Styela clava: one gene and its partners. The protein of the gene in region 2 purifies or fractionates together with the protein of the main gene of each other region. This does not show direct contact. Links are inferred from orthologs where the notes say so. Each region holds a gene or a part of one and is shown on either strand. Other genes may lie near its edges. The genes, in order: protein KRI1 homolog, KRR1 small subunit processome component homolog and nucleolar complex protein 4 homolog.

Region 1 (3,760 bases), on a different chromosome or scaffold from region 2:
AACTACACAACATACCTCTACACATGTTAACATCTAACCAATTGTATTTTTCTTCTATGGCTTCGATTCCCATTTCTTTCGCTTTTTGTATTTTGTCGCATATGATCGAACCTGACGGCTGGGCTAAAAAACAAAACTATGATAATCCTAAACAAGATTGAAAAATAGAAAATTTTTGGTTCCATGACGAAGCAAAATAAAAGTAGGCTACTAACTTACCTGATATTGTTATTGATAAAGCTGCACAGGCAATAACTAAAAGTAATATTGACCCTCCTATGATGACCAATTTCGCTTTAGATGGCGGATTCTTTGCCACTTTTTTGTCTGTCGTAATAAAACACGGAAAATTAACTTTTATGAACTTATTTACTGAAAAATTCATTTGGAATTCAGTTGAAGCACTTTATGTCTAAGTTGAGATTGACTATGTTTGATACTCTCATTGAATAAGTCAGTGGTCATTGTCACTCTTCAGTAAAAACCCGAAAATGTATTGACAGTATCGTAGTTGACGCAGTTGTTGCTATTTAGTTATTAAATGCGTATTATTTTTGTTCTTGTTGGGAGTCGGGGAATATAGCTTATATTTTCTTAATATTTTTACCTAGCACTTAAATCACCATGGTCATATAATCTATCTAGCCTATAACGTTAGTAAATTGTCAACATGCGTTAAAAATGTATAATAATTATCTTGCCATTTTTAGCTTTATCGGCTTGCTTGGCTGATTTTTCGCCAGGATTCTTCTTTGGTGCCATGTTACATTTTTAGAGTAGCTTGAATCATTTCACATTTTTAATGGAGTTCGCATTCTAACACAGGATATTGTATAATTATGTATATATAGGTATAGATCTAAAACAGAATAAAGGTTAACAGTTTGATCAATGACTGACAAACAAAACAGACCAGGATGATCACGAATTCAAAATATCTCGTCACAATTGTTAATTTATGCCAGGTTTCAATATTGGTGGATATAGTTCAACCTAGTAAAATGCTCAAATTAAATAATATACAATTTTTAAAATGCAGATGAACAAATTCAAATTCGGAACAATATATAAAATGATACATTCGTATGTTTAAACTGATTGCCAAAAATGCAATATGTAACACTGATAAATATGATTGTTTAATACTGGCATCGACGAGCCGAACAACTAAGAACATCGTCGATTTTGATGTAATAATGGGTTTAAGTGAGGTAGAGGTTTGTATTAGATTTTTCACGCACAAGAGTTTACCGTAATTTCAGGATGCTGCAAGACCTACAGATACAATATAAATCAAGCATATCTATGAATATTAGTCGATTTTATTTAATTACCCATACGTCATAATTTCTGCATAGATACACAGTAAATCCAGCCCATACATTCACTATTTTTAACACCGGCGTTCATAACTAAAATAGTTATCTACATGCACGATTTTTAAATTCTTATTTTATTCTGATTCTAATTTAATATTTTTAGAGAAAGAAAGCGCACACGCGCACACAGGAGTAAAGGATATTCAACTCTGAACAATCTTATTATGGACTCCAGTTGTTCATCACCGAGGGAGTTCCCCTCCGTGTTGATCTACACGCCGTGTTCTGTTGTTTCTTTGCTTCGTCTTGTCTCCGTCGTTATTACTGTATTAATGCTGTAGGTTACCCCCGGTGTTGTTTTCTTTTTATCCTGTTATCATGGAAGATTTCAAGATTAACGAAGACTTTGCTAAGAAGTATAACAAATACCGACAAAAAGAAGAATTGCAAAAACGTGAGTCTAAAATCACTTTTTATCTGAGATCCATCATCAACATTTAAGGATCCATTTCTATCTTTGAAACCTTTTTATACTAGCCACAGTCAGTAATTACCTAGGTAGTATGATACCGTTACCAGTATGATAACGTGATTAGTACATATTAAATAATTCTTGGTAACAATGCCAGCAATGCCCATCTTTTTAATTGTTGAAAATGAACGGAGGCGCAGTTCTTACCACTTCATGGCAGCTCCTGCCACGAACGTACCACGCCGTCTCCTGCCATGGTTTTATGGCGCTATTACGGGTATATTTACAAATTCATGTACCATATTTTAGTTTATCATGCGAAATTATATCTACTTAAACCCTAACCCTAACCCCAAATCCATCCAAACTGTATCCATAAGAAAAACATTCCAACTCACCAAATATTTATCACCATCAGCAGATTAGGGGCAGCCCTGCTATTACAGCCGACCTGCCGTGGTTACGGCATTAAAATTGGTGGTATTCGATTTGCTGCCGTAACCACGGCAGCTCGCTATTGGTTTGTGGCAGCTAAAAAGTCAGTCGCCGTGGGTTTGGTCTTAGTGGCCGTGGTTTGGAAATCCCGCCATGGTTTTGCGGCAGCTGTAGACGCCACAAAATACTTGAAACTGCACTTGAACGATTGCTAAACTGCCAGACATTTTTCCGTTCAGACTTTTTCAATCATGATGGCATATGACGGTTTGAGTTATAACTTTGGCTTTCTGTTGCCTAGGGAGTTGTTTGAAAATAATAATATGCTATATAAATAGATAGACTACACAAATATTTATAGATTTATTTACAGATATTTATTCCTATCAGCGACATATAACCTGCGTCTCTGCATTGTTACAAACCTAACCCTGTAACTCTCTAACCGCAGAACTGTAACACTGCCAAAACATCCGATAAATCAACATGTATTTATATATTATTATTTTTAAACAACTCTGAAGGTGTACTTGAAACAAAATCATAACTCAAATCGTCTTTTCGTCAGCAAAATCTGTTAGGCAAATGTCTGTGGTACAAAAAGTCTTTATACCAAAAGAAACAAATATTCTGTATATTTGTTCCATTATAATGGAGTATGATAATTCTTATATTGCTGTATCATACTGTACTGTCATCTGTTAATATGTTTCAATTTGAACCTAACTGCGCTAACTTGGTTTTTTATTTATTGCTGTGTAGGTATGTTTAAATTCATTATATGAAAAGAATGAAGGACAATGGCATTCGTCTCTCTATGCCCAACCGCGGGAATGTTTAAATTAGTTTTTCATCATTGGTCATATAATTTTTCTTGGTTAATTTTGCGGATTTAATTTACAAAAACAACATGATGTTGTCATTGTGAGAATTGTGGGGTTAGCATTGCTAGTTTAAATATCATAGGGGCCAAAACAAAGTCGATGCCAAACGGGGCAAATGACCACCACCACCAGAGTCGAAATAGTGATAAACAACTAAAAGAGCAAGTAGTACAGTAGTACAAATATATAAAATCCAATTTTATTTTTTCAGTGAAAAGTCGTTACGGCGATGTATCTTCTGACAGCGAAAGTTCAGAATCTGAGGATGAAAATGCTGAAGCATTAACACCAGGGTTGGAAAGAGATTTTCTCAGAACACTTGCATATCTTAAAAATAAAGATCCAGCAATATATGACAAATCTAAAAAATTTTATGAAGAGCATGAAAGCGATGAAGTAAGTTTAAGGCATATTGTATTTGATTTAAATAACTTTAGTTGATAGCTGTACGTGTAGTAACTGAAAGTTATTTTTACTTTGACTCAAGTCATAAAAATTAGAGCTAAACTAAAGTGCTGAAACACACCAATTGGACCACTTATCATTCCGAGTACCCTGACATTACAGCATCACAAGTTCGATAAGAAAAATAGGAAGATAGGAAAGAATGATCTATGTGTGCAACTTGACATGCGTGCAGTTTAACTTGA
Region 2 (3,760 bases):
AGTTCATATATTACAATTCAAGATTAAATACAATTTTTCAAATGCCAATAAAAATGCACTAAAACTTGACATTTTAAGAAATTGTAGAGCAAATGCATGTGTTATTAGCTTTGGCGTAAAATTTTCTTTTAATATTTTCAGAAGCAGAGGCATTGCATTAAATATTTTATAGACACAGCTGGGCAGCTTTCATTTGTGTCATTTCATGCATAATGACGTGACCGAATGTATATTATGATAAACTGGGATGGCATGCGTTTGGCTCATGTTAAAGGAAATGCAAAAGGACGTGTTGACTTGAAAGATTGACGATTACAAAATGCAAAATTACCATTTAAGACAAGATTCAATTTTATTGTGGAGTTTCACTTACTTGGATGTCCAAAATGAATTAAATATTCCAATACATTCAAATTTCATTATGATTGATATAAAAAAAATTGGATTTTAGGAATAACATTTTTATTCGAAAATTAGAAAATAAGAGAAAACTTCGTATGAGATGGGATCAACATGAAGATTAGTGATTCATGTAACTTTCCACATGAACTTGCCCCCAATTTAAAATGTATTCGATACTCCATATTCAAAACTATTTCTCCAGAATGTATTCAGAATAGTGGAATATTCGTTTTCATGCCGTCCCTTCACCAGACAAATTTTGAAACATATATAATAGGAAATGAGAATTGTTAAGTCACAATTCATGATATTTCCAATGACCTTAAAATACCATAATAAGGTATAGTTTTTTCAACCACATAAACAAAAACAAATCAATCCACTTTATAGAATTTAAAACCTAAATTTTAAATTTGTCTGACTGTAACACAGCAAGCACCATTATAGTAGATTACAAGAAATTTGTGTCTAATATCATAATTGCTAGTTTGTACAAATTGAAACAGTGATTCATGACTTCAAAATCCAAATTAATATCTCAAATTACGACAATGCTAAGTATAGTAACAGGTGTGCGACATTTTCACGCATCGATAAACTCATACAGGAAACAGTCAGTATGTTAAAATTACCAAACTTTTAGGTGCGTTGACCCTAAAATATAAACGAGAGAGTGAACGTTGCACGGTATTAGATCAAAATGTCAATACAACTACTGTACTATGCTATTGTGTCAACCCGAATTAAAATAGTTACAGACTATAATGAAAGGTACAATCGAGCTATAAAATTACTGGTTCAAATATTAGGAATTCCTCAGTAATAAACTATTCAGTGCATTATTATGAAATAGCTGCCCATGTCATAACATTTCATTACTATAAGAATAGTAAACAATCCGAGAAATGTCATTTCTCCTATTGACGTAAAAAGCATAAAAAAATGGATCAAACAAAATATATGCCTGTTCCTAATTCTTGCTTTGATGAAAAGAATTCACAAATTTTCTTTTGTTATTATTAAACCATTAATGAACATACTTTTGGGAGCATGCGCATTAGAAAAACAATACTTTAGGTTTTTAATATTGTCTGAAATATTATAAAAATAAACAATTCGTGATAACATTCTATAATGATAAATTCTTATTGTACTTTAGCCTGTAGGTACGGTATGTAAAGCCCATTAAAATTAACGAGAGCTGCATTTAAAAAGAAACCTTTTATGTGGCAGATGAATTTGATCATGAATACATTGTTTATCCAGAACATCCCCATAATAAAACAAATATAAAGCATAAAGATATAAGCCTAAGCTCACGTCTAGCTGCTAAGACTAAAAGCCTAGCTCCTAGCAATTATCAAGCAAGGGACAGAAGTAAAAAACCATGTTTTTGGGAGCAAATGAAAAAACTGATATTCTCTTCTTTCGATAAATTCGTTTTATTCAGAAATTCAGAATGGAATTTAAAGTTTTATTCTAAAATCTTCTTTGATTATGCTTTTTTAGTTACTTTAGCTTTTTTTATTTTCTTTTTCAAGGAATCAATATCAACATCGTTACTGTTACGTTTAATAGCAATTTTTGTTTGATTGAGTGCACTTTTAGATGGAGTGGGCTCTTTCGGAGGAATAAAAGCCTTTTCTCTTTTTTGCTTTTGTTTAATTGCAGAATCTATTTCTTTTGCTTTTCTTTCTTCTAATTTTTTATGTCTTCTCTCTTTTTCTTTAAGAAAATATTCCCCAGAAGCAATTTCTTTGTCCATTTTGCTTTCTTGTTGTGGAGGAGGGAAAGGTGTGTATGGTTTCTCTCTTCTGGGTTTCTTTTTTCTTTTCACATTTTTACTTTTAAACTTGGGTAAGAAGCGTTCCCAGGATTCATTTCTCAGTTTATCATCTTTGGAAAGTTCTCGTTTTATCATGAGAGATTTAATGTTATATACCGGGTGTATATTTTTCATTGTGTCAATTGAAACTTTGCGAACTTCTTTAAGGCCTCTGTGTGGCCCAAGGGCAGTTACTGTATTTCCTTGTACCAATATGTAGCATTTAGTTAGAAGTTCTAAAGCTTTCAATGTACAATTATTAGGTCCTAAAAGTCTTTGTCTGCGTTTAACAAATCGCTCACGATTTCGCACTAACGACCCAACTTTGATGATATCACATGCAACGTCATCTTCGAAAATCCGGCACGCTTGTTCAAAAGGAATGCTCCTTGCTAATAATTTAATCATATCCCGAGCATTTATAATTGAAAAAGGGTCCCAAGTTTTTCTTGTCGTTTTCACTGTCATAGAACCTTCAATCAGGTCCAGTTCAGCTTCTATGTTATATCCCTTCAAATGATTTTTAACCAAAGGCCATATTTCTTGCAAGTATTTTTCTCTGTATTTCGGAAAAAGTGTTGCAAATGTACTTTCATCGGCCATTCCGTAAGGATTGTCCTCTTTTTTGAATTCTGGTTCTTTCCATCCATCAGGAACAGTCAGAAGATCTTCTTGATTTATATTTTTATCCATATTTGTCAGAGTATTTCCCAAAATTTTATCTTAATTAATATGTACCTCATTTATTTTAAAACAGGAATAAAAATCTTCGTTACAATCGACTACAATATAACAATATCTTGCGTACTCATGAAACAAAACACCATCAAGAATATTCAGAATTTTTCATTGCATCGCAGAAAGACCAGCAGCTGCAGACGGCAATGTTGTTCGAACATTTAAAAAAAATGCAAAGTTCAGTTCACAAAATCATGATACCATTTTTTTAAACTACTATTCGAGAAAAAACATTTCAAATGCAGACATTGGACAATTTCTTTAATATTGTATTTCTGATCGAACAAACAAAAACTGAAGTTCGTGATGGTGCAAAAAGACAATTGGAACAAACAGAAAGAGTCATAACATTGGGAAATAGTTGGAACTGCAAAGATCAAGCACAAATACGCACAAAATTCATGTCAATAAAAAGTCAATGCAGATATTATATGCGAAATATCAGAAATTGAGGGATCAAACGATTGAGTCATTATGAATTGCATCTCGGTCTATACAATGACTCAAAGTATTATGATACAAATATCCTATACTAACAATACTAGAAAAGTCATAAGAACCATATTCGAAAGCAGAATACTAACCGATACTTGTTTCTCTTACTTAAATTGGGTTTAAAACACACATTCACAAATATCTGATATTCATAAAATGAAATGCTGAATCAAGACTTTGAAATATTTTTTGTTACACATGTATTCTAGGTTAACATGTTCATATATAGAAACATTCTGTAGGTTGAATCACAAACAATATTTTATTCTTCATATAACCAGGTAAAGTGATATTCAAAAA
Region 3 (3,760 bases), on a different chromosome or scaffold from region 2:
GCTAGTCATTACTCTTAATGTGTTATCAAAACAGCTTACCAGAAAATGGGCAAATCCGGCCAGTTGTGTAATTTTATCTGGCCCGTCTGATGCTGCCACAACCAAACTAAAACCAAATTTTGAAGTATACTAAAAATAGCTCAAGTTTGTTGAGATTGCGAATAAATTTAGTTTTGACATGTGGCCTATTGTTTTCCACTTTTGCTTTTCTAACACTGTAAATATTGTTCATAAAATGTAACTTTTCACACTTACATGGCCTGTGCAAAATTTTTCGCCCTGGTCCAGAAAACCTTGCCTATCCCTGCTCTTATAGCTCTCATTGACACAGTGAAAGACTCTTGATTTATATTTAATTTCGTCTAATCATTTTGTTGGAAATTAAAAAGACGAAGATCATGCACACTTGGGCAGGACTATCAGTTAAATTCCTTATCACAATATCAACAGACTCTCATTTATCCATGATGTCTACATGCCATTTTCTCTCTATCATTTTACAGTACACAGATATGGCACTGGTAGAAGAGCATATTGGAAATGGACAAATTGAAGAACTCATAATTCAGGCCAAGAATGAACATCATCTTGCCAGGGAAATGGCAGAATGTCGACCATGGGAGACATTGGTTGGAGAAGCACCACCTGGACAATGGGACTGGCCATGAATATTTTTGAATATATTATAATTTATTTTTATTGTGTTCTTCTGATTACAACATCCACCTAATGAGCTGTGAGAATATTTATTTCATGCACAAGGGATATGGGAATTAGGTTTAAGAAGATATTGCATAGTCCTATTTTCTAAACTGACCATAGTTCCATTACAGCATCATCAAATCCACCAAACAATGTTTTTGGCGCTCTGTAATTCATAGGAGCGTCTACAATTTCCTTCTCGCAAAGTGTATCAAACATTTCTTCATAAGTATTTTCAAGCAAGTCTGTAATGTCCTGCTTTGGTCCCTTGTCAATGTTTTTTATCGCAGCGCTTACCGAAGATGAACAATGTTTCGAAAGAGCTGTCAATTCCCATAAAAAGCTTTCCATCGCTTTGCATTTTGCAGGATCAACTTCTGCTTCCAAGTATGGATCGCCAGCTAAAGCTTTCTTTTGTAAGGCTTTGGTATTTTGGTTTATGAGAATTTTTATAGAAGGGTGTCTGTCAATTAAAGTCTGAATAAAATTTACCAATAATTCTTGCGCGCAGGTTGGTGCAACTAACGTCAATCGTGAAAGTCTTTTAGCAAATGCTGCAACCAAATATGCAGGCAAATGTGTTGATGACAGGAAAACATCCAAAAGAAAAAAAAATCTTGGCTGATATTTAGCATCAAATACCCTTGGGTGAACCATGCTGTATAAATGAGTGTAAAAATCTGGATATTCCAGATTATGTTCATTCATTAGAATAAACAGGCTGTGTAAAGACAAGAGAGCTATACCACCTCCTTTGTTGAAAGAACGTGTAAGGAAATCAGCCAGGATACAAGGGCTTGCAAAATTTGGTATAACACATTTCTGAAGTATTACAAGAACACTTTTGAAAAGATGACTATCCAAATCATAATTCAAAAACTCAAGCCAGGCATTTCCAAAGATTTTCCTTTGCTCTTTTAAATCTAACGCCTTAGGAAATGGAATTGACGAGTCCTGATACTTTTCAGTGACGACTGGATCTTTGTTGACCGCTGGAAAAATTCTTTCTACACCATTATTAGCCAAAGTATGTAAGTTAGTTTCATCCATGACAGCCGGCATGCTTTCAGATATTGAATTCAGTAAAGTGAATATATTTTGCAGCATCATAGACTTCAATTCTATTTTTGAAAGACATTCTGCTGAACATTTAGTAATACATTTGAGGGCAAAATATCTAACATCATCGAGTTTCCAAATATTCGTGCAAACATCTTGCATATGATTGGATGTATCATTTATTATGAATGCACAGATCAGCGATTCTAACTCTGTTTCTGGAAAGCTAACATTGTCTTTTTGCAATGCGACCCCAATTTTACTTTCCATAAATCTTAAAACAGTTACTATGCATTTTTCCTTTAAAATATCAGAATCGTGGTCCAGCAGGAGCACTATTTTTGCAAGGCATTCATTATAACGAATATTGATCCATTCTTGATATTCCGACATTTCTTTAGATACTCCTTTTTGTTTGGTTAACTCATTGTTACATATAGCATTGCAAAAGTATGTGCCCACGCCATCCAAAATAACATTCAACACTTCTTCATTTTCTTCAAAATTGATTAGCGGGATTAAATCCACAATCTTGTTACAATTTTGTCTGCTTTGTAATAACTCTTCAACCAAATTATTGATTGATTTTAATGACATGGCCATGATAAATATCAGGTACAAATCATTTAAACTGAAAAGTAAGTATGCTATTGATCATAATCTACACATGAAAACATACTGATCAGGCACGTGATGCCTATATTCTAGTACTACACTTTTTTGGTTTCGTTTGCTTTCCCGATTCTATAATTAGTTTATTTATTTTGTTTTTATCAATTATTTTATCGTCTATTGCTGATTATGGAGTCGAAATAAACTTATACTCATAACTCGGATATAAAAATCCTTAATACAGTAATACAGAAACACCATGAAGTGAAACTATTCAACCATATTAACCGAATTGTCACATTTTGGTAGAAAACATGGTCATTCCATAACGTAAAAACAACATAACGTAAAAATGCCCGATACGGTAAGAAGAGAAGGGCTGAACTACCGGTGGCGGTTGGTCGGCATCAAAGCGACTACAACACGGTCGGCATAAAGATTGTTTTAAATCCAAAGCAGCATGTGCAGTTGTGCAACAAAGTGAAGTTTTAGGAGTCAAAGATTTTTTGTTTCGGATCGAAATGGATCCCACTATCAATTTGGCATTTAACTACAACCATAACGATTTGGCAATCGCTATAAAATTACCAATATGATCTGGTATATTAGTCAATGGGTCTGACAGGTATATTTTATTATTTTCCAAAAAATGGTAACCGGACGAGAATCCGTGGTTCGCCATATTTAAGCTATTTTATCGGCTTTATCTCCCATCGAGATAAATATATAAATCCTAACCTTTTAGGTGTGTGAACAGGTACCACTTCTTTTTGGCAAACCTGTTTTATATTCTGTGCGCTTTCAACCTTGATTAATATTTTATCTGCTCTTCTGATTCTACATACAGTTTTTATTCGTTTTTTTTCCCCACTTTATCGTCTGGTATGCTGATTAGGAGTCAAAATACATATGTGTGGACTTTGAAGGATGGTTGTAGTCAACTTTTTTTGTATTCATCCTAGGAAGAGGGAAAACCACTGCGGTTTGAATACTTCAAGCATTTGCGGGATCACCAGATTATAAAATCAACCAATCGATCAATTGTATTTTGGTCGCAACTAAAATAAAATAACAGCAAAAACAAAATAACGACACATACACACATTTCCCTATATCTGATTGATAAACAATCGCGTTGGTGTTTACCTGATGCACAAATCAAGACGACACGGTGATTCTACTAGGAACAATTGAGAAGACGTCAAATATATAAATTATAAAGAATAGGATTTTCATATATATATATCTCCGAGGGGAGTCGATGAGACTAGTCGGTAAATTCATAATGCCAGATGAAAGCCGTAGCCGGTCATTAATCTCGTGAACCTCCATGCTAGGAATTCAAAAAAATGCAATAATTGCAGGTTTTTAAAGTAACCATCACCCT

Evidence for each region.
Region 1: the proteins of KRR1 small subunit processome component homolog (region 2) and protein KRI1 homolog purify together in Homo sapiens (affinity purification with mass spectrometry; 3 studies listed by BioGRID and IntAct, with this or other methods). This does not show direct contact. The link is inferred for Styela clava from reciprocal best matches to the Homo sapiens genes KRR1 and KRI1.
Region 3: the proteins of KRR1 small subunit processome component homolog (region 2) and nucleolar complex protein 4 homolog purify together in Homo sapiens (co-immunoprecipitation; 3 studies listed by BioGRID and IntAct, with this or other methods). This does not show direct contact. The link is inferred for Styela clava from reciprocal best matches to the Homo sapiens genes KRR1 and NOC4L.

The regions. Positions count from the first base shown.
Region 1 is NC_135251.1:17,670,578-17,674,337, forward strand, and holds the start of protein KRI1 homolog, read left to right. Parts: upstream 1-1,488; 5' UTR 1,489-1,697; coding exon 1,698-1,773; intron 1,774-3,321; coding exon 3,322-3,506; intron 3,507-3,760. Other genes in the region: uncharacterized protein LOC120336391, read right to left, coding at 16-123, 220-327, 702-762.
Region 2 is NC_135255.1:9,058,018-9,061,777, reverse strand, and holds the start of KRR1 small subunit processome component homolog, read right to left. Parts: upstream 2,922-3,760; 5' UTR 2,921-2,921; coding exon 1,898-2,920; 3' UTR 1-1,897. UniProt on the Homo sapiens protein: Part of the small subunit (SSU) processome, first precursor of the small eukaryotic ribosomal subunit.
Region 3 is NC_135250.1:11,176,158-11,179,917, forward strand, and holds nucleolar complex protein 4 homolog, read right to left. Parts: upstream 2,679-3,760; 5' UTR 2,365-2,678; coding exon 808-2,364; 3' UTR 669-807; coding exon of another isoform or gene 504-668; 3' UTR 337-503; downstream 1-336. Other genes in the region: NADH dehydrogenase [ubiquinone] 1 alpha subcomplex subunit 5-like, read left to right, coding at 504-668.